3 linked regions of the Arabidopsis thaliana genome follow. The protein of the gene in region 1 interacts with the protein of each later gene in a pairwise test. Each region holds a gene or a part of one and is shown in the gene's direction. Other genes may lie near its edges.

The links. Proteins that work in one complex are often made in the same cells at the same time.
Region 2: the proteins of AT1G33110 (region 1) and CRK10 interact in a protein complementation assay, tested with the Arabidopsis thaliana proteins (one large-scale study listed by BioGRID).
Region 3: the proteins of AT1G33110 (region 1) and AT5G61520 interact in a protein complementation assay, tested with the Arabidopsis thaliana proteins (one large-scale study listed by BioGRID).

Annotation. Positions count from the first base shown.
Region 1 is NC_003070.9:12,002,026-12,010,675, forward strand, and holds AT1G33110 (MATE efflux family protein), read left to right. Parts: upstream 1-2,828; 5' UTR 2,829-3,058; coding exon 3,059-3,331; intron 3,332-4,547; coding exon 4,548-5,089; intron 5,090-5,422; coding exon 5,423-5,509; intron 5,510-5,616; coding exon 5,617-5,673; intron 5,674-5,759; coding exon 5,760-5,998; coding exon of another isoform or gene 5,999-6,015; exon of another isoform or gene 6,016-6,102; coding exon 6,103-6,221; intron 6,222-6,333; coding exon 6,334-6,420; intron 6,421-6,512; coding exon 6,513-6,593; 3' UTR 6,594-6,827; downstream 6,828-8,650. Other genes in the region: AT1G33102 (uncharacterized protein), read right to left, coding at 508-606.
Region 2 is NC_003075.7:12,135,062-12,141,422, forward strand, and holds CRK10 (cysteine-rich RLK (RECEPTOR-like protein kinase) 10), read left to right. Parts: upstream 1-2,933; 5' UTR 2,934-3,109; coding exon 3,110-3,944; intron 3,945-4,064; coding exon 4,065-4,202; intron 4,203-4,285; coding exon 4,286-4,404; intron 4,405-4,497; coding exon 4,498-4,708; intron 4,709-4,800; coding exon 4,801-5,038; coding exon of another isoform or gene 5,039-5,039; exon of another isoform or gene 5,040-5,170; intron 5,171-5,174; coding exon 5,175-5,325; coding exon of another isoform or gene 5,326-5,385; exon of another isoform or gene 5,386-5,401; coding exon 5,402-5,719; 3' UTR 5,720-5,861; downstream 5,862-6,361. Other genes in the region: EP1 (receptor-like protein kinase-related family protein), read left to right, coding at 144-941; CRK11 (cysteine-rich RLK (RECEPTOR-like protein kinase) 11), read right to left, coding at 6,136-6,361.
Region 3 is NC_003076.8:24,738,526-24,744,426, reverse strand, and holds AT5G61520 (Major facilitator superfamily protein), read left to right. Parts: upstream 1-3,025; 5' UTR 3,026-3,251; coding exon 3,252-3,387; exon of another isoform or gene 3,388-3,585; coding exon 3,586-3,923; intron 3,924-3,998; coding exon 3,999-5,069; 3' UTR 5,070-5,401; downstream 5,402-5,901. Other genes in the region: AT5G61530 (small G protein family protein / RhoGAP family protein), read right to left, coding at 77-233, 349-593, 666-743, 836-934, 1,112-1,130, 1,216-1,278, 1,389-1,691, 2,002-2,022; AT5G61510 (GroES-like zinc-binding alcohol dehydrogenase family protein), read left to right, coding at 5,452-5,739. UniProt on the Arabidopsis thaliana protein: Mediates an active uptake of hexoses, probably by sugar/hydrogen symport.

The DNA of each region.
Region 1 (8,650 bases):
TAGAAATATGCATACATTTCTTTTTTATCTTTAAATGTCATTTGCAGATTTATATCTATTTTTTTCTACAATTATTTATTAAAATTTAAATGCCAAATTGGTATCAACCACTAATTTGGGTTTAAAAACAAATACATATCTTTGTTGGATCAGAAGAATAGTTGTGGTATTGAACCGTTGGATTGAACCAGAATGTAAAGATTAAACGAGACTTCACAAACAGAACAAATAATATTTGTTCGGGAGAATTCTCTAATCTATATAACAATATCTTAAATAATTTAATTTCTTAAGTCTTTCTACCAATTTTTTTTTTTACAACCATATTTCATTAAGAAAGTTCAAAGGACTACTACAGAGGGAAGCCCAATTACTACAATGAAAATACAACCTAAGTTTTAAGAAAACCTAGATGCTGACACGTGTTGAAGTCTTCTGCTTCATCAAGCCACGCATCAGTTGATCGAGCGCTGCCGTGTTTTTCTCGCCAAACATCACCGCCTTAGATCAGCCACCGTCGATCCGTCGTGGAGCGATGGGTGGTTGCCTCCTGTCTGACGATCTCGAACCCAAGCCGTAAACGCCGAGAACCTCCAGATCTATCATATGGTATGCTTCAAGAGTTCTCCGAGCAAATCCAACTCCTGGGAAGTTCCATCACAGACAACACCTTTACTGATGCAGTCGAAACATTGCTCCAAATTCACGAACAAAGAAAGATAATGAAGATATTACTCCTCGAGATGATTGGGAGGATCGGATGAACCTCGAGGGGCAGTTGGACAAGAGATTAGTCTCGCCGTCGCGAGAAAACAAAAACCGGACTACTCTAGTAGACTGACATCCGACTAGAAGTCGAAAACTTATTTAAATCTAATATAAATCTATATCTACTAAATCAACAGTCACTTTATCACAAACTGCAACATTCTCCTGTTTACACGTAAGCAAAGTCTTAATTTATTGAGTTTTGATTTTTCTGAAGCGTAAAACAATAATTCTTTTCTCATTAACATAAATTATTAAAGAGATTTAATCCATAATTTATTTCTTTCTTTCTCGCCATCTTCATCACTATCTTCCCCATTCCCCATATCTTGCAACAGTTATTGCTAATTTATGTTGTTTCATCTTCTATGCAATTTTCTAATTACGAATCTCAAATTTTTCACATTCGGATCAGTTATTTTCTTTTCCGCCTGCTTTACACCATGACGCCATGGCAGATTAACAATCCTTACATTTTTTTTGCTGCTTGCCATTCTCAAACCAAAATTCATCTCACTCTCCCTTCTCATTCGAGGTCAGTTATGGCTGAAGAAGAGGTCAACCACAACGACTGTATATTCAATTAAGGTATCAAATTTGTAAAATTTCTGAATTATTATAATTTTCAGTTTTCCATATATTGTTTTGGCTTTCAGTTTTAACATCATTTTCTTTATACTTTGTGAATTATTACAATTTTCATCTAATCACATCTCATTGTTGGCTATTAATGTTGTCAAGAGAAAGTGTTTGAGAATCTGACTTTAAGACGACATGGGTTTCGTTTTCAGGATCCCGTGTGAAACATTTTCAGAAAAATAAAACTCTTACACGATCATGAGTCATGACTAACCCAATGACATGCTAAGGTTATCAATTCTCAATTAGTTCTTCCTTTATTTTTTATTTAAAAAAATAGTTGATCTTATATTTTTAAACTCAAATATAGTGCTAGACAAATTGACTTTTTGATTTTGTGAAATCACAGTAAAACAAAAAACGAAGCCATACAAGCACAAGATGTACTGATATACACTAGAGAAAACCAAAATTTTTTCAGTTTTAAAATGGTGATATAGATGAACACAAGAGTCATATATCTGAAAAGCTGAGACTATACGACAAAGGAAAACAGAAACAGAAGAAAAAGATATCCATAAGGTTGTAAAACATGTTTTCTCATGCAATTGAATCTTCAATAGAATTGGATTGATTACAAATTTATGGACCATTGGATTTTTGTTATGCTAGAATCTTTAGAACTTTGGAAATTTCGAGTTATGAGGTTTAGAAGTTAGGCATTATTGAAATTGTACGACGAATAGACTATATAGAGAATATATATTTTATTTTTTATTTTTTGGGCAAAAAAGAATATGCTTTTACCTGTTTTTCTAAAAAAAAGTTATCTTACACAGGACACACTAAAGATAACGCTTTCAAACAAAAGAATTTATTTTTTATCAAATTATTTTTGTCCCGAACGTAGTCCAGGCTTCATACTAGTAATATTTATAAGTCCGAATAAATCCGAAAATAAACCCAGACGATATAGAGCCTCTTCTCTCTGAAAAATTAGAAGAGATAAAAGAAAAGAAACTCTCTTGTATTTTGCAAGATTTTATTTTCGGTTTAACGGAAATCGCCTGCTCCCCAAAAAAAAAAGAGTTTTTTTAACTGAAATAAGTCTTTCTACCAATCTTGTTAGCAGAAAAATGTGACAATAGTAGTAGTTCGATACGCTCGTGACTTGATTCTTGTCTTTTTATGGTTTATGGTGTAGCAAAATTAAATAATTGTTAGTTTTTCTATTTTATTATATAAAACAATATAGAATGATTTAATTATTTTATTTCTTAGAATGTTTTATAAGTTTCAACTTTCAATACATGACTATTTGTATTTTATAATTGGTTGAATCAAATATCAAATAATAAATTTGTTTACTAAAACATTATTATATATTTTCTATATTATGAAACATAGGTAGGTTTGTTAGTCAAAATAAATGGTCTATAAAATGCAAGATATCTTAGCTAGGTGTCTATAAACCACTCACTGCTACTTGCTGCTTGGCGTAGACGGCTTTTCGTTTCCCAATAAAAATGACGATTTTTAAGCAAACAAAAAAACATTAATCTATAAAGACAACAAAAAAAACAGAGTTGTTCTCATAAACCAATTCATACACAAACACTCTAGTCTCCTCTCTTTTTCTCTGCCTTCTCTCTTTTATTTATTCCCTCCTTCCCTCTGGTCCTCCATCAGATACAACAACAGAGACTCCAAGATGGCCGGAGGAGGAGGAGAGCTCACGGCGGCTTTGTTGAAAAAGACGGCGGAGAACGGCGGAGAAGAGAAGGATGAGTTAGGGTTGAAGCAAAAGGTTTGGATTGAATCAAAGAAGCTATGGATTGTGGCGGCGCCAGCGATCTTCACGAGATTCTCAACGTTCGGAGTTTCAATAATAAGTCAATCTTTCATCGGCCATCTTGGTCCTATAGAGTTGGCTGCTTACTCTATCACCTTCACCGTTCTCCTCCGGTTTAGTAATGGTATCTTGGTGAGTACTTTCTTCAATTATTACTCTCAATTTTTTTACCAACAAGTTAAATCATTTCTTCAAACATTGAAATCTTCGTGATACTATTACTGACCATTCATAAATTAAACGCGTTTTTTGTTTGTCATAACCCTTAGAAATAACTTTTCATTAATCTATTTACCGGTGATTGCCTTAGAATGCATAACTATGCAATAAATTAAATTGTGGTACCTTACTGAAAATAGAAAAGAAAACATTGAAAAATGATTATGACAAGTCTTTTTTCGGGAAAGAATAATTTCTCTTTTTTTTCTGTTCAACAATTCCTTTTGTTGCACATTAAATATTATTGACTAACAAATGAAAAATCAGAAATATAATTAATTCTTCCAAAACTCAATAATAAAGCACAGCATGTTTTTGATTGGTCAGAATTAAGAAGAAAAAGAAAAAACAGAACTACTGATTGTAATTTATAAATGGTTCCTTTTGACGGATAATTGAAATAACATAAATCATGTGAGTCCTGACAGTTGACACTGCTTGACGTAACATGCGGTGGTTTCTTGCGAACCACATATCAAATTTGTAGTCTCTTCTCGTATTTTCCACAATTTTGTAGAATAATGCAGTAGAGAAATAATTCTATACCAGTTTTTAAAAAGTTAAAGGGTTTATTATACAAAAAGAAAAAGAAAAAGAGAAGGGTTTATTATACTATAACCTTAAAAGAAAAGGTGTAGGAAAAGTATTGCAGTTGATAAATTATTTTTGGGAAGACAAGTTTGACAAGATTTTTCAATGGCAGTCCACTTAGGAGGCGTAACCACTCTCCACCCTGAAAATCAAAAGTTGTTTCATATTTTACATGTTTTCAGTATACAACTCCAAAAGTACCATCATATCAAAATTTTGTCGAAGCTTTTAAGCCATACACTAGACGCCATAAAGAGCCAAAAGAGAGACAAATAGGATCTAATTATTGAACTATCAGACAAAAAGAAAGTTTTGAACTCTTTTTATATACCTTCTAATCAAAGTCAAGTCACTACACTGTAACAACGTTTGAGCTAGATCCTGATAATTTTACATACTCATCAAAATTTGGTTCAGTTTATATGGTCTTGAATGATTTTGTATGGAATGTTATTTTGGCTAACATTTATTATGAAGCTATGTAGATGTCTCAACTTTGGTTATTATAACTATCGTGTAATAACGAACCGTAATGCAGTTAGGTATGGCCAGTGCATTGGAAACACTATGTGGTCAAGCCTACGGAGCTAAACAAAATCATATGCTCGGGATCTACCTCCAAAGGTCATGGATCGTCCTTACAGGTTGTACCATTTGCCTCACGCCCGTCTATATCTTCTCTGGCCCTATCCTCTTAGCCTTAGGTCAAGAGGAACGCATTGTCCGTGTGGCTCGGATCATAGCCCTATGGGTCATAGGCATCAACTTCTCTTTTGTGCCTTCCTTCACTTGCCAAATGTTCCTCCAAGCTCAGAGCAAGAACAAGATCATTGCCTACGTGGCTGCTGTCTCCTTAGGGGTCCATGTCTTCTTGTCGTGGCTACTTATGGTTCATTTCAATTTTGGGATCACTGGTGCTATGACCTCTACGCTAGTTGCGTTCTGGTTGCCTAATATTGCCCAACTCTTGTTCGTCACGTGCGGTGGGTGTAAGGACACATGGAGAGGATTCTCTATGATGGCCTTCAAAGATTTATGGCCCGTCTTCAAACTTTCTATGTCTTCCGGTGGAATGCTTTGGTAAGGTTTCCTCTATTTTTTTAAGCAGCAAACCATATAATTATCAATTAGTCTAGGATTTGATCCTAAAGTTTTGGTTACAATAGAAATTCATATGAATAGCTTTACATGTAGGTGATATGAAGTTTCTAATTAAACTAGTAAGAGTCAAGTCAAAACCACATGCTCTTAAGTTTTTTACTTACTAGGAATGACTTTCAAAGACTGACAGTTTGAAATAATCAATGTCGTATAAGTAGACTACCTTACTAAACTATATTTACATGTACGCATATTGAGAAGTTTATGATTATACAATAATAATTATCACTTTATGGCCGTTATTTTGGGCAGCTTGGAACTATGGTACAACTCAATCTTGGTACTGCTCACTGGAAATTTGAAAAACGCAGAAGTGGCTCTTGATGCACTAGCAATCTGGTAAACTAACACGACATGACCAATACCGATTAATTCAAACATCTATTCATTTTATTTAAAATGTAGTATGCGTAAATAAACTATTCTTAACCATTTATTTTATATAGCCTCAACATAAATGGACTGGAGATGATGATAGCACTTGGGTTTTTGGCAGCTGCAAGGTACATACATATATTAATTCATACATATACACTTCACTTTATTAATTCTATTTATGTATCGGTCTTCTTCCTTGTCTTTTCTCTAGCGTAAGAGTGTCCAACGAGCTCGGTAGTGGAAACCCCAAAGGAGCCAAGTTTGCAACACTAACCGCGGTTTTCACATCACTCTCTTTAGGAATAGTTCTATTCTTCGTCTTCTTGTTTCTGAGAGGAAGAGTTTCCTACATTTTCACTACAAGTGAAGCTGTCGCAGCCGAAGTTGCCGATCTTTCTCCGCTTTTAGCCTTTTCCATCCTCATGAATAGTGTTCAACCCGTTCTCTCTGGTATGTATATTAGCTAGTTGGCGCGAGATGGTTATTATTACAGTATCGAATATAAACCGATATTTGAAATATTATGTGTCTTGGATCGGTTTTAACCTTAACAGGAGTTGCCGTCGGAGCTGGATGGCAAGGATATGTTACTTACGTTAACCTTGCTTGCTATTACCTTGTCGGAATTCCTATTGGTATTATCCTTGGTTATGTCGTTGGTTTGCAAGTGAAAGTAAGTTTTATTTTCTTTATAATTTTCTCCTTCTTTATAACGGTCTTGAAAACAAAAATGTGTGAAAGTAAAAAAATTAACATAAAAAAAGTTATTCTCTAAATTTTCTTAGGGCGTATGGATCGGAATGCTCTTTGGAATATTCGTTCAGACTTGTGTGCTTACCGTCATGACTCTGAGAACAGATTGGGATCAACAGGTTATAAATCGATTACTATGTTTTCTAATTTGTTCCTAGCAAGCTATGTTTTTGGTGCTTATTCTTATACCGTTTGTTGCCAAATATATTAGGTGTCAACGTCGTTGAGACGTTTAAATCGGTGGGTTGTACCAGAATCTAGAGACGTAAACCAAGTATCATCAGAGGAATAAATTGGATTCTAGATTGTCTTTAGCACCGTCACATTTTATTCTTAAAAGCTAAAATGTAACTTTTAGGCTATGTTCCAAGATTGTGAAGACAAGAATATGACAAATTTGGGTCGATTTGATGTCCTCGCAACTAACTTGTAATAAGATTCTAATGTTTAACCAAAAAACGAAAACGAGATCCTAATTTTTGGATTAACACTAGATAGTGTTACATTTAGCTATGATTCATCAAACACAAAATTATTTTGGGGTTTATAACCAAAAAAATAAAAATAAAAATAAAAAATTTACTATTTATGTGAAAAGAATAACAAAAATTAAAATATTTGGGTGACCTTCTCAAATAGTATAGAAAATCACACCAATTTTATTTTGTACTATTTGAGATATTCATGGTAAGAAACCATAGAGCGATGCTCTAAAGTCTAAATAGTGACAGTTTGGTTTTAAAACATTTAAAACAAATTTGTTGACTAATAGAACTGAATTTTTTTTTGTCTCATTTAACAACTGCAATTGTAACATATATATATTTTTAATAGAAATAAATTAACAAACTTTTTTTGATGATTTATGAAAACTATTTAATGATATAAATGTTTGGATACTAAACTTGAATTATTTCTCCGTCGGCTTTGTTTGAAAATATATAGAAAAAACAATTAACGGGCCATGTGCTTGTTGCAAATAATCTATTTATTTTTCATTTTAGGAATTTTGTTTCTCGGCACGAGTTGGGCTGATTTTGATAAGCCCACATGACATTGTTTTAGGGTTTCTGTTTTTCTTCTTTATACTTTTTAAAACGCGGCCAGTGAATAATTTTCTAAGGTTTATGCTTTAATCAATGAGATCAGTTAGAGAGAGAGATAGAGAGTTTTGTACAGAAAAACTCCATAGTGGTTCATATTCACAACTTTATCCTTCAAGTCCAAAAAATACAAAATAATCTTATGAAGTCCAAAATAATACGCAATATAATCTTTTTTTCACTATTGTCAAATTTAAATTTTTTGATAAATAATATACCAAATCAAAGATCTCTAGATAAGGAGTTCAACTTTATCTTCAGAATTCTCAAAAACTAATGTATGAGATCGTGAAAACATTCTAATATATGTAAAATTAAAAAATGGACTATATTGCGTATTATTTTGTATTTTTAGGACGTATAGGATAAAATTATAAAAATAGACGATTTTAAGGTTTTTTTTCATAAAACCTTTTTTTTAATACAAGTTAAATAATTTTTTTGTAAATAATTTTTTGTTGGAATGTCAAATTTATTCAACAAAAGAAAATGATTACAAAGAGTTTTGAAAGCTAAAAAATAGAGAAAATAAACGTGAAAAGTAGAAACAAAAATAATGGAATTGGCGCCACTTACATCATTACAGAAAGTTCAAAAGGCCTAATTCTGACACAATATTATTAACGGGCCATGGGCTTAATGACAATAATAAACTTTTCTCACTTTTGAGTTTTAATAAGCCCACATTTGCTTTAGGGTTTCTGCGTCTCTACCTTTAAATTGCTTCCGACGATTCATAAACTAGGGTTTCTGCCTTTAGCCGTCGTGAGAGAGAGAGCAAATCGAAGAGAGAGCAAAGAGAAAATAATATGTTGTTTGCGTTTGGTACGGTGACTCGATCTGTGGCTAATTCAGTGGTGGTTTGCTACGGCTTTCTTTCGACAATGGTGTTTTCTTTCGACCTAAACTTGATAGACCGAACCAAACTGAACCAATTTTTATATATATTTACTCAATTAAATCCTAAACTCCTCTATTTGATCTGAACCCGATCAACCCGAATACATAAATATCTAATCTTATCCATCTGAAAGGATACTAAACTCTCTAATTCGAATTACCCGAATCCAGAAAAAGCCGAATAGCATGCATTCTATTGGTACTTGATTATATTAATTGGCATATATATGACCTGTTATTGCCAATAATATATTTTGGGTGTTTCCTGGGCTTCAGTTTTATTGGGCTAGGAATGGGTGTACTTTTAAACCCACTTCTGATTAGTCTCTTAGTAAAACCCACTTTT
Region 2 (6,361 bases), on another chromosome or scaffold:
GTTGTTAATAAAAAGGAATGACATAAAAAAAAATCGTTTACATTGACTTTGATTGATGACTTATGGTCGTCACAAACTATTCACGTTAATAAATGGAAGCTGCATGATGTGAAACTCAAATCAACGAAGTCGAAAAAAACACCATGTCTTCTCTGATCTCTTTTATCTTCCTTTTCCTTTTCTCATTCCTCACTAGCTTCAAAGCTTCCGCTCAAGATCCTTTTTACTTAAATCATTATTGTCCAAATACGACAACTTACTCAAGATTCAGCACTTACTCCACCAATCTCAGAACCCTTTTGTCCTCTTTTGCTTCCCGCAACGCCTCTTACTCCACCGGATTCCAGAACGTCACGGTGGGACAAACCCCCGACCTGGTCACCGGACTTTTCCTCTGCCGCGGAGACCTCTCGCCGGAAGTTTGCAGTAACTGCGTTGCCTTCTCCGTTGACGAAGCGTTAACTAGGTGTCCAAGTCAGAGAGAAGCTGTGTTCTATTACGAGGAGTGTATACTCAGATACTCTGACAAGAATATTCTATCGACGGCCATTACAAACGAAGGAGAATTTATCTTGAGTAACACCAACACTATTTCTCCTAATCAAAGTCAAATAAACCAGTTTATAGTTTTGGTGCAATCTAATATGAACCAAGCTGCCATGGAAGCAGCCAACAGTTCTAGAAAATTCTCTACGATAAAGACCGAATTGACCGAACTCCAGACTTTGTACGGGCTTGTTCAATGCACTCCTGATCTTACAAGTCAAGACTGTTTGAGATGTCTGACAAGATCCATCAATAGAATGCCACTTTCTAGAATTGGAGCAAGACAGTTTTGGCCAAGTTGTAATTCAAGGTACGAGCTTTACTCGTTCTACAACGAAACTACCATTGGAACACCATCTCCACCACCACCACCGTCGCCAAGCAGAGCAAATTGATGTGCTGCTTTTTACGTCGAAGTTTTGGCCAAGTTGTAATTCGTTTTGCTCTGCTTTACAAATTGACGTGTTGCTTTTTCTCTGCGTTTAAAATTGGTATCATCGAAATAAAGTAACTCAGTTTCTTACAATCAAAGAGATAAGGATTGTGAAGCAGCTAATGAGTCTTCTTATTTTGTCTTTACTTCAGTCTTCTCGTCTTTGATAGTGAATTGCTCATCTAGCTTTCTTAATCTTAGACTTGGTCAATGTTTTGGCTTTTCTCATACTAAACCAATTAATACATAAAATATTTAATTTATTTTCTATTACAATTATCTAGATATTTTTAGCTACACGTGATTGAAACGTGTCTCAAGCTACACCAACGCTCTTCCTCACAAACTGAATTCGTCGTCGATAGTGGTTGCTCTTGCTATCTTGATGTTTACTTCGTCTGATCGTTGAACTGGCCCGCTGCAACATTCTGAGTGTTCCAAGTGATTATTCTAGTTGTGCGTAACACCGTAACAGTAAAAATGAGCTAAGGAAAGCGAGATGCAAGGGAGAACCAACAGAAGCATAAGTTTTTCCTCTGTTATTACTAATGGAAAAAAACTTTCTTTTTCATTTTCTAATTCCTTGTCAGATTTCTCAGCTTCTCTTCTTTTTGTTTTGTGTAAGACTTGGTCGGAGTCTTAGATTACGCTGATGATTAAAAACTACTAAAAAAGAAAAAAAAAAGAATATTACGCAAATGTTCTCGATGCATTGACCAAGTCCTCTTCTGGTTCTGGCTCCATTTTCACATGCAGGCCCATAACCAATTTTAACGAGATTTGTTGCATGAAAAGCCGATTGTTTTTCCTTGGCAGTAACGAAAAAAAATTAGTTACTTTTTAAAAACTAGGGTTTTGAATAATATCATTAAAATCAAATAGAACGAACTAGGGTTTTGGCATCATACACCGCCTCATTCAATTATTAACAAAGCTGAGTCTTCTTCACGGAGAAATCACGGCTGAGCTAGGTCTCATATACCTTGCATCAATATCTTGGGCCTTTACTAGGATCGGAGATACATCAAACATAAAATACTTCTCGGTTTTATTTTCTCTTTCCTTATGTATATGTGAATGCCTTTAAAAATTTTGATTGCCTTTTTTCTCGTTTTGGAATAGTCATGAGAAGCTGAGAACCAAAAAGGAAATATTTCTCACCTTTGCAACTAGCTAGATGGAGCTTATGGATGCAAAATTCGTTTTAAAACACATTGTATTCGGATGATGTCAAAATATTTCACATTCATATAGCAAATTCATGTTTATATATTCCGATATTAACTTTAAATATTAAAACTTATATGCTGTAGATTCATATCCGGGTGAAAACACGAAAGGACTTATGATGGAACCATTATATGGAACGACGTCATGTGGAATATCAAGTTATTTAACTTCTCGCGAGTAAGACTATAAAAAGTAATAGAATAATTAGTAACTAACAATATCAGATAACGATAGGCAGATGATTTGGTAATACTATTTTAGTATCACTACATCACAATAACCATACTAGCATATACGATATACAAATTAATAAATTATCGTGCTTAAAACAAAAACCTATTATCAACCAATAATTTCTTCGCATCAGTGGCGACAATTTTTTCAGCCCCAGAATGATTCTTTGAAGAATAGTCAACAAAGATTCCTAATTTCAACAATTCTGTTCAAGGAAAAGTACGAAACAAATTCTACTGCTAGCTAGTTTCTCTCATGTATATCTAAATTCTATTACTAGTAATTAAGATCTTTGAAATCATGCCAACTGCTACATTTATTTTCTCTTGAAAATCCCAACTACCTTTTTTTTGATCAAAAAAAAAAAAGACTTTAGAGTTCAAAGCTTGAATTTAGAGTTATTATGTTTTAAATTTTGACAGTTTTGATAATTTTCTTCATTTTAAAATGATTTTATATTTTCCGTAATTTTTTTCTATATTTCATATATTAAAAAAATAAGTAATGGATTAGTAGCTAAACACAAGAAGTTGGACAAGACCCGACAATTTAATACGAGACGCGTTGACCTTGACCTTGACTTTTCGTCAGCACAAAACGTTATCTACGGTAGTCACTGAGAGAGAACAAACAATCAAATTTGTTTCATATATCACTCAAAGCTTGATGAGAAGAAACACAGATCAAGAAAGCCCAATTATGTCTTATTACTCCTCTTTCTTCTTCCTTTTCCTCTTCTCCTTTCTCACGAGTTTCAGAGTTTCTGCTCAAGATCCCACTTACGTATACCACACCTGTCAAAATACGGCAAATTACACAAGTAACAGCACTTACAACAACAATCTCAAGACCCTTTTGGCTTCTCTTTCTTCCCGCAACGCTTCCTACTCCACCGGATTCCAAAACGCCACCGTCGGCCAAGCTCCAGACAGAGTCACCGGACTTTTCAACTGCCGTGGAGATGTCTCAACGGAAGTTTGCCGTAGATGCGTCTCCTTTGCCGTCAACGACACCTTAACTCGGTGTCCTAACCAGAAAGAAGCCACACTTTATTACGATGAGTGTGTACTTAGATACTCTAACCAGAATATTCTCTCGACACTAATAACCACCGGTGGAGTTATCTTGGTTAACACCCGGAATGTGACATCTAACCAACTAGACCTGTTAAGTGATTTGGTTTTGCCTACTCTGAACCAAGCCGCCACCGTAGCCTTGAACAGTTCCAAAAAATTCGGTACGAGAAAAAACAATTTTACTGCGTTGCAGAGTTTCTATGGACTGGTTCAGTGCACACCTGATCTCACGAGACAAGACTGTTCGCGTTGTCTCCAACTGGTCATCAATCAAATACCTACTGACAGAATTGGTGCAAGAATTATTAATCCGAGCTGTACTTCAAGATACGAGATCTACGCGTTTTACACCGAATCCGCCGTTCCACCACCACCACCACCACCGTCAATTTCTACTCCTCCAGTTTCAGCTCCTCCGCGATCTGGTCAGAGCTCTGTTTTTTTCCTCTGTTTTTTTTTTTTGCCCTGATTTCTTGAAATTGGCAAAACCAATATAGAGAGTTTTCTTCTATCTGATTTTTAAGCAAATAATCTTTGAAATGCAGGAAAAGATGGGAATTCAAAGGTGTTAGTGATAGCCATTGTTGTGCCTATTATAGTGGCTGTTCTGCTTTTTATAGCTGGTTATTGTTTCCTTACAAGAAGGGCAAGGAAGAGTTATTACACACCATCTGCATTTGCTGGTAAAGATTTCAAGTGATAAACGATCTTTAATGTCAATGCTCAGCTTGTTTTTCCTGCTTCAAAGACTTTCATTGTGTAACAGGAGATGATATCACAACAGCAGACTCACTACAGCTTGATTATAGAACAATTCAAACTGCAACAGATGATTTTGTAGAGAGTAATAAGATTGGTCAAGGTGGATTTGGTGAGGTTTACAAGGTAAATTATAGTTCCCTTGAGCTGTGTTTTTTTTTTCTTGAAATTTTAAGCCAACACTTTTGGATAATGGGATGATGCTGATGAAAACAACAGGGTACTTTATCGGATGGGACTGAAGTTGCGGTGAAGCGACTATCAAAGTCATCAGGACAAGGTGAAGTAGAGTTCAAGAACGAGGTTGTTCTTGTTGCAAAGCTACAACATAGAAATCTGGTTAGACTTCTTGGGTTTTGTCTAGACGGAGAAGAAAGAGTACTGGTCTACGAGTATGTGCCCAACAAAAGTCTTGATTACTTCCTCTTTGGTTAGTTGCATTTAATGCTTTGTTTCAATGATTCTTGATACTTGGGGTTACGAATGTTTAGAGATCTCATTGTGATTTATGGATGTGGACAGACCCTGCAAAGAAAGGCCAGCTGGATTGGACTCGACGATACAAGATTATCGGTGGAGTTGCTCGAGGGATTCTGTATCTTCATCAAGACTCACGACTCACAATCATACACCGTGACCTCAAAGCCAGTAACATTCTCTTGGACGCGGATATGAATCCTAAAATTGCAGATTTTGGAATGGCTAGGATCTTTGGATTGGACCAAACCGAAGAGAACACAAGCAGAATAGTTGGTACCTAGTAAGTCTTCCTCATAACTTCTCATAAGTTGAAGTTTTCTGAACATTCTTTTGTTAACATAGTTTTTGTTGTGGGTTTATAAGTTGAAGTTTTCTGAACATCCTTTGGTTAACATAGTTTTTGTTGTGGGTTACAGTGGTTACATGTCTCCCGAGTATGCAATGCATGGTCAGTACTCAATGAAATCTGATGTCTATAGCTTCGGAGTGTTAGTTCTTGAGATTATAAGTGGCAAGAAGAATAGCAGCTTCTACCAAACAGATGGTGCACATGACTTGGTCTCATATGTAAGTTTTAAACCTATCAAGTTCCATATTTACCTGAACATAGTTGCAAGTGTTGATTGATTGAATAATATTCTAGGCTTGGGGGCTTTGGAGTAACGGGCGACCATTAGAACTCGTGGATCCAGCTATTGTAGAAAATTGCCAAAGGAATGAAGTTGTTCGATGTGTCCATATCGGTCTTTTATGTGTTCAAGAAGATCCTGCTGAGCGTCCGACGTTGTCAACCATTGTTCTGATGCTCACTAGTAACACTGTGACTTTACCCGTGCCACGGCAACCCGGTCTTTTCTTTCAGAGTAGAATTGGAAAAGACCCGCTTGATACAGATACAACGAGCAAATCTCTTCTAGGGTCTGTTGACGATGCATCCATCACAGATATACATCCTCGATGATGATGAGTTTTTCCCTTCATACCTGATTCCTGAATCTATTGGTGTTGAAAATAAGTTAAAAACTTCTTTTGTTATAGAATGTTTGTATTGTAATTGTAACCACAAGCAAGTATAAGATATATACCATTTACACGTTTCTCCATGAAGACGTAACAGTGACTTTTCCCTCCAAATTAAGCTTACACAACGATCTAGCAGGTAATTTGATTCAGCATGAAGAGAGTAAAACCAGTAATCGAGAAACGATTCTTAAAGAACTGTGAACTGTTCATAAGCATTTTACAGTGGACACTGTACAACATACAATTACAGATAAACCTGCTATGTTTCTTATGTCCGTGGACAAATAATATAAATGTCATCTGACCATTTTTCTGTTACAACTTTTAAGCTATGATGAGGAACCACATCAATTTTTACGAACTAAATGAGGAAGACTTGCTTGTATACTGATCAGACTCTGATCCTTCAGATACCAGTTTCAGTTGCCTGCTTCGTGGGAAAAATCCCGGTAGGCGAGGCACTGGTAGAGTAATTGTGTTACTAGTCAGCATTAAGATGATTGTTGATAACATTGGACGGTCTTCTGGATTTTCTTGAACACATAACAGCGCGATATGGATGCACCTAGTGACTTCATTA
Region 3 (5,901 bases), on another chromosome or scaffold:
TAACCATGAAAGAGAAGAATGATCGTAATGAAACTGTGCTTCAAAGAGTATAGGAGCCAAGTGTTTTTGTGTTTACCTGAGAGCAAGTCCCATGGAGTAGCAGTTTCAAAGTCGTTACTTTTCTTAGGACTCCTTGACGGGCGTCTCCAGTATTCCCGATAAGATTCAGGCCTGTTGTCTTCTCGCCACATGATCACTGGAGCCATTTCCATAGCTAGGCTATGCGAATCCATCTGCAAAATGCAAACAAATGATTCCCAATATTCAGATAACTTATATGATTCCTGAAAAAAGGATCATCTTAAGTATCTAGAATCAGAGATTAGTGTTATAACAACTTATTCCCACTTTGTTAAGAAGTGATTTCTGGCTCACACGAAGCAATAGCGCTGTTATGAACTCCAATGTATTATAATTCACATTGGAAAGCTTCTGGAGTGACTGTCTCATTCTGTGTATGCTCGACCGTGCATCTTTGATTTCATTATAAAGCTCAAAAGTAGTTAGTGGTGTCGGAAGGCTAGCAAGATAGTATTTCAAGAGTGCAGCGACATCAACTGGATTCACACCCTCAGGTATTGACGCCCTAGGATCTGCCAAACAAGTGATTCAATTAAATGACAATTTCTCCATGAGCCATAAGAGTCGAAAAGAAATCTTGCTACCTTGATTGTAAGCAGAAACCAATTGTTGAATCAACTTTCTATCTCCTTCGGCCTTGAACAAGTTCGGTGAATTAAGTCCTGGGTAAGAGGAAAATATCACATTGATAACTCGATATGAGAAGGTGTGAGCAATAAAAGTGTTATTGCTCCATTGGTCCAAACATTATTACCTGTTAATATGAGATAATCTGCGCATTTAACTAGTATCAGAGGAATAGGCCTGCTTGACTCCTGCCGCTGGACAGTGATCTCAATCGCAACACCAAACACTGAGTGCCAAAAACATTTGTCATACAGAGAAAGTCACAGCATTTCAGACACGCAATCACTAATAGTTATCTCAAGAACGGTAATATAATTAAGTATCCCCACATCAAAGAATCCATTGAATTTTCGATTAACAAACGTTTAAACTGTAATCTCTCCATATATTGCGATCAACTTACCATCTGAGCTGGCAACTCCCTGCAGAATTACAAAGAATAGATATTAGAGACCAAACTCAAATCAACGGCATACAATCAGATTTCAGACTCTAATAGTCAAATACCTTTTGCCACCTTTCGATATCCGTCAAAATGGTCTTGCTCTTTTGTGCAGTCTTTTTGGCCGCCTAAAGAGAAAACATGGATACAAAGAATTTAGCTGTCAGAAGTTAGAAGAATGAAACGAGATACATACATTCTTGTCGAGTAACTTCGAGAAGCTATGTGTCTAGAATACCTCTTCCACTTTGATCTTTCCAACAGAAACCTTTTCCTTTGTCTCAGTTATACCCTTCCTGACAAAAGTCCCGGTTGTGGCAGCAGCTGTTATGAGGTGTTCTTGCACGGCATGTCTAGTTGCAGGCTGCTGAAGAATTGCCCACCGGCTTTTAAACAACGACCCAACTCTTTCTGCAACATCTGCAACATTCACTTTCGCATCCTTAGCAACTTCCCCGACAAAACTACCAGCAGTCTGCCCTGCTTCCCTAAGCTTCGTTCCTAATTCAGTAACTCCATAGTAAGCTTTCCACCATAAACACTCACAGAGAGAAACGAAATGAGGTTAGCATAGAAATTATCAAACCTGATGAAGAAAAGAATCCACTAGTCCTCTCCTGCCATTGCTGTGAGATGAGAGAAGGCATTATCCAATACCAACCACTTTAAACAAGTCACTAGAAACCTGTTTGCATCAAGAAACAAATGGGAAGATATATACTTATTCTTAGCAAATTATGATACAACCTCACAAGCGGTATTATCCGTTGTAATCAACTTCATCACATGAAATCATCTTCAATCTAATCATATACAATTGATACAGAAGAAACACAAAAGAAAACCAAAACCTTGACTTCATCGTCAACCATGGAATGAATTTCTTGACAAAGAATAAAAACCAAGTCTTTAACTGCCAAAAGGAGATAACTTTTAAGGAACACAAACCCTAATCCTATATTCTCTAATCAATCATATACGAGAATCAAAAAGAACAAATAGAACAAAAGCAATCCGATCATCAAACCTTTAGAACAATCCCCAGAAAAATTGAGATAGCTGATGATCGAATCGAACTAAACCCAATTCCTCGATACGATCAAAGACGACGAAGACGAGAGTCAGCGATATGATGAAAAAGAAATTGATCGCTCCAGGAGATGAAAAGGTTCCACTTTTTTAATTTCCCCCTGGAGCAGAGAAAAAAAGATATTATTGCTGTTTAGGTAAAAAAAAAGTCGGCTTTGAATTTTGAATAGGAAAGTCTTCTTCCCTTTGCAAATCACAGATATTCTCTCCGTCACGGACTGTGACGGTAATAAATATTCTGTTGGTGCCACGTGTAATAAGTTTTTCTCTTCACAAAAATGGTCCTTCATCTTCTTTTAGTATCTCATTTGTGACCTAAGCTTCTAATTTCACAGCTTATCATCCCCTTAATGTTTTAAGTTTTTTGACCATAGAGTAAAATTATTTTACTATAAAATTAAAAGCAAAAAATAAAATTTACTATAAAATTATAATTATAAAAAGTGAATGTAAAAATGATTCCATAAATTTACATGATTGATAGTAATTATTCTGCCAACTTAATTCCACATGTATATCAGTATTTATATATAGAAAATGATGGTTTTTCTACATAGTCAAATTCCAAAACAAAATATCAGTATTATGGAATTAAACAATCAAAGTTTGCAACTTGGTATGTCCAATATCATCGAAAGAGCTTTATCATTCAGTCGTTGAAAAAAGTATAGCCATCTTTTTCTTCTATCGATTTTCAAAAAAAAAAAAAAAAAAAAAAAAAAAAAAAAAAAAAAAAAAAAAAGAGGAAGATAATGAAGGTAGGCAGTGAAAAGTCTTTCTTCACATGTCTTTTATTGTCCACTTTCGATATCTCATCAGCCAGAACCGAAACAAACAAAAACTATAAGTCCCACACTCAAGTCAATTAAAGCACTCCAATGGTCCAACAAGTTTCGTCGTCTACCTTGAAACTCAACCTTTGGATGATTGATATACAAAAATACAGGATCTAAAAACACCTACCGAACTTGAATAGTAGGTGTGTTGTGTTTGAGTGTCTCTCTAGGTAAACATGGTAGCAGAAGAAGCAAGAAAAGAAGCCATGGCTAAATCAGTATCTGGCGGGAAGATTACTTATTTTGTGGTGGCTTCATGTGTCATGGCCGCCATGGGCGGTGTCATCTTCGGCTACGACATCGGGGTTTCAGGTTCACATATATATTCTTGCTAATTAGGATATATATGTTCTTTCTTTTTTTTGTTTGTGTTTGTGTTTGCGTTTGCAAAAAGAATAAATCATATTTTTGAAGTAGAAAACATTTTAGTTTTTCATAATATTTAAATGAAATGTTGTGGTTCTCTAAACCTAAACATAAATGCAAACATGTAACTATATAAATATGTAGGTGGAGTGATGTCAATGGGGCCATTTCTAAAAAGATTTTTCCCAAAAGTGTATAAGCTCCAAGAAGAAGATAGAAGAAGAAGAGGCAATAGCAATAACCACTACTGCCTTTTCAATAGCCAACTTCTTACATCCTTCACATCTTCTCTATACGTTTCCGGTCTCATCGCTACTCTGTTAGCTTCGTCCGTGACTCGTTCATGGGGTCGCAAGCCCTCTATATTTCTTGGCGGTGTGTCCTTTCTCGCCGGCGCTGCTCTTGGTGGCTCTGCTCAAAACGTTGCTATGCTCATTATTGCGCGTCTCTTGCTCGGCGTAGGAGTTGGATTCGCTAACCAGGTAACAAAAGACAAGTTGATTAATGATGTTTCAATTTTCTCTGTATGTTGACTGGTTTGTTGTTTTATATTTTAGTCGGTTCCTCTGTATCTCTCCGAGATGGCGCCGGCAAAATACAGAGGAGCAATCAGCAATGGTTTCCAGCTCTGTATCGGAATTGGATTTCTATCTGCAAATGTAATAAACTACGAAACCCAAAATATCAAACATGGTTGGAGAATCTCTTTAGCCACAGCTGCAATACCTGCTTCAATCCTCACTTTAGGATCACTGTTTCTCCCGGAAACGCCGAATAGTATCATCCAGACCACCGGAGATGTTCACAAGACCGAGCTTATGCTTCGCCGTGTCCGTGGAACTAACGACGTTCAAGATGAGCTTACTGATCTCGTTGAAGCGAGTTCTGGTTCTGATACAGATTCAAACGCGTTTTTGAAACTGCTTCAAAGAAAATATAGGCCTGAGTTAGTGATGGCTTTGGTGATACCTTTCTTTCAGCAAGTTACTGGAATCAATGTTGTTGCTTTCTACGCACCGGTTTTGTATAGAACCGTTGGGTTTGGAGAGAGTGGTTCGTTGATGTCGACCCTCGTGACTGGAATCGTGGGAACCTCGTCGACGTTGTTGTCGATGCTTGTCGTTGACAGAATCGGTAGAAAGACTCTGTTTTTGATTGGAGGGTTACAGATGCTCGTGTCGCAAGTTACCATTGGTGTGATCGTTATGGTGGCTGATGTTCACGACGGTGTGATCAAGGAAGGGTATGGTTACGCGGTTGTGGTTTTGGTGTGTGTCTACGTGGCCGGGTTTGGTTGGTCTTGGGGTCCATTAGGATGGCTTGTACCGAGTGAGATTTTTCCGTTGGAGATAAGATCGGTGGCGCAGAGTGTAACTGTGGCAGTGAGTTTTGTGTTTACTTTTGCGGTGGCTCAAAGTGCACCACCGATGTTGTGTAAGTTTCGAGCTGGGATTTTCTTCTTTTATGGAGGGTGGTTGGTGGTAATGACGGTAGCGGTGCAGCTGTTTTTGCCGGAGACTAAGAATGTTCCAATCGAGAAGGTGGTTGGACTTTGGGAGAAGCATTGGTTTTGGAGGAGAATGACGAGCAAGCGTGATATCCAAGAAACCACCATTCTTAGCCATTGAAAACAATAAAAAAACCAGCACCTCATGATTTGAGATGAGACGCATCTTTTGTTGCCAAAAAAATTATTGCATATAAGTTTTAAAATTTTCAAAGTTCAAACTAAATTAAGGATATTTTTTTACTATTCACGTAACAATAATCAAATCACATGATCCAAGATTCGATTATTGTTCAAATTATTTTGTAAATTTAGCCATAGTTTCATTTTTTCACTTATATGTTTGTGAAATAACGATTTGTGTTTGGAATTAAAATTAGGGGTGTTTTATAAATATAGTAAAACTAGGATAGTGATAATGTAATATATTGAACGTTAAAGGACAAAGATGGGAAATAGAAAATAAAGTTAGGAGGCAGAGAAGAAATGGGGGCCATAAGAAAATGGCAGCATTGACTCTTCATCATCATCATCATCATCGTCATCACTCGTGTCTTCAAGCGTCTGGACATCTGTCACGTCGTCTATATCACCGAATATTCTCGAGCTTTCCACGAAATCCCGTCAAAGATCTCAACTTTCGTCTAAGTCTTGCCGATTTCTCGAGTTTTTCTTTATCTACACGTGGCACTGTGTTTGCTGTAAGAGCTCTGAGTACAGTCGCGGTAGAAGAGTCGTCCGAGAAGAAGATGGTGAAAGGGATTAGGGTTTATGAGCATGGCGGTCCTGAGGTGAGTAAAAGATTCGATTTTGAAGTTCCGGGTCGGATTTGGATCATTGAAATCAAATTAGATTGCGATTGTGTCTGTTTCTATGTGCTCGTGTGATTATAGTTCAAATGATTTGAGATTCCCTATAAGCTTCAGCTTTTTTCAATGGCTAGTTTTCCAGGT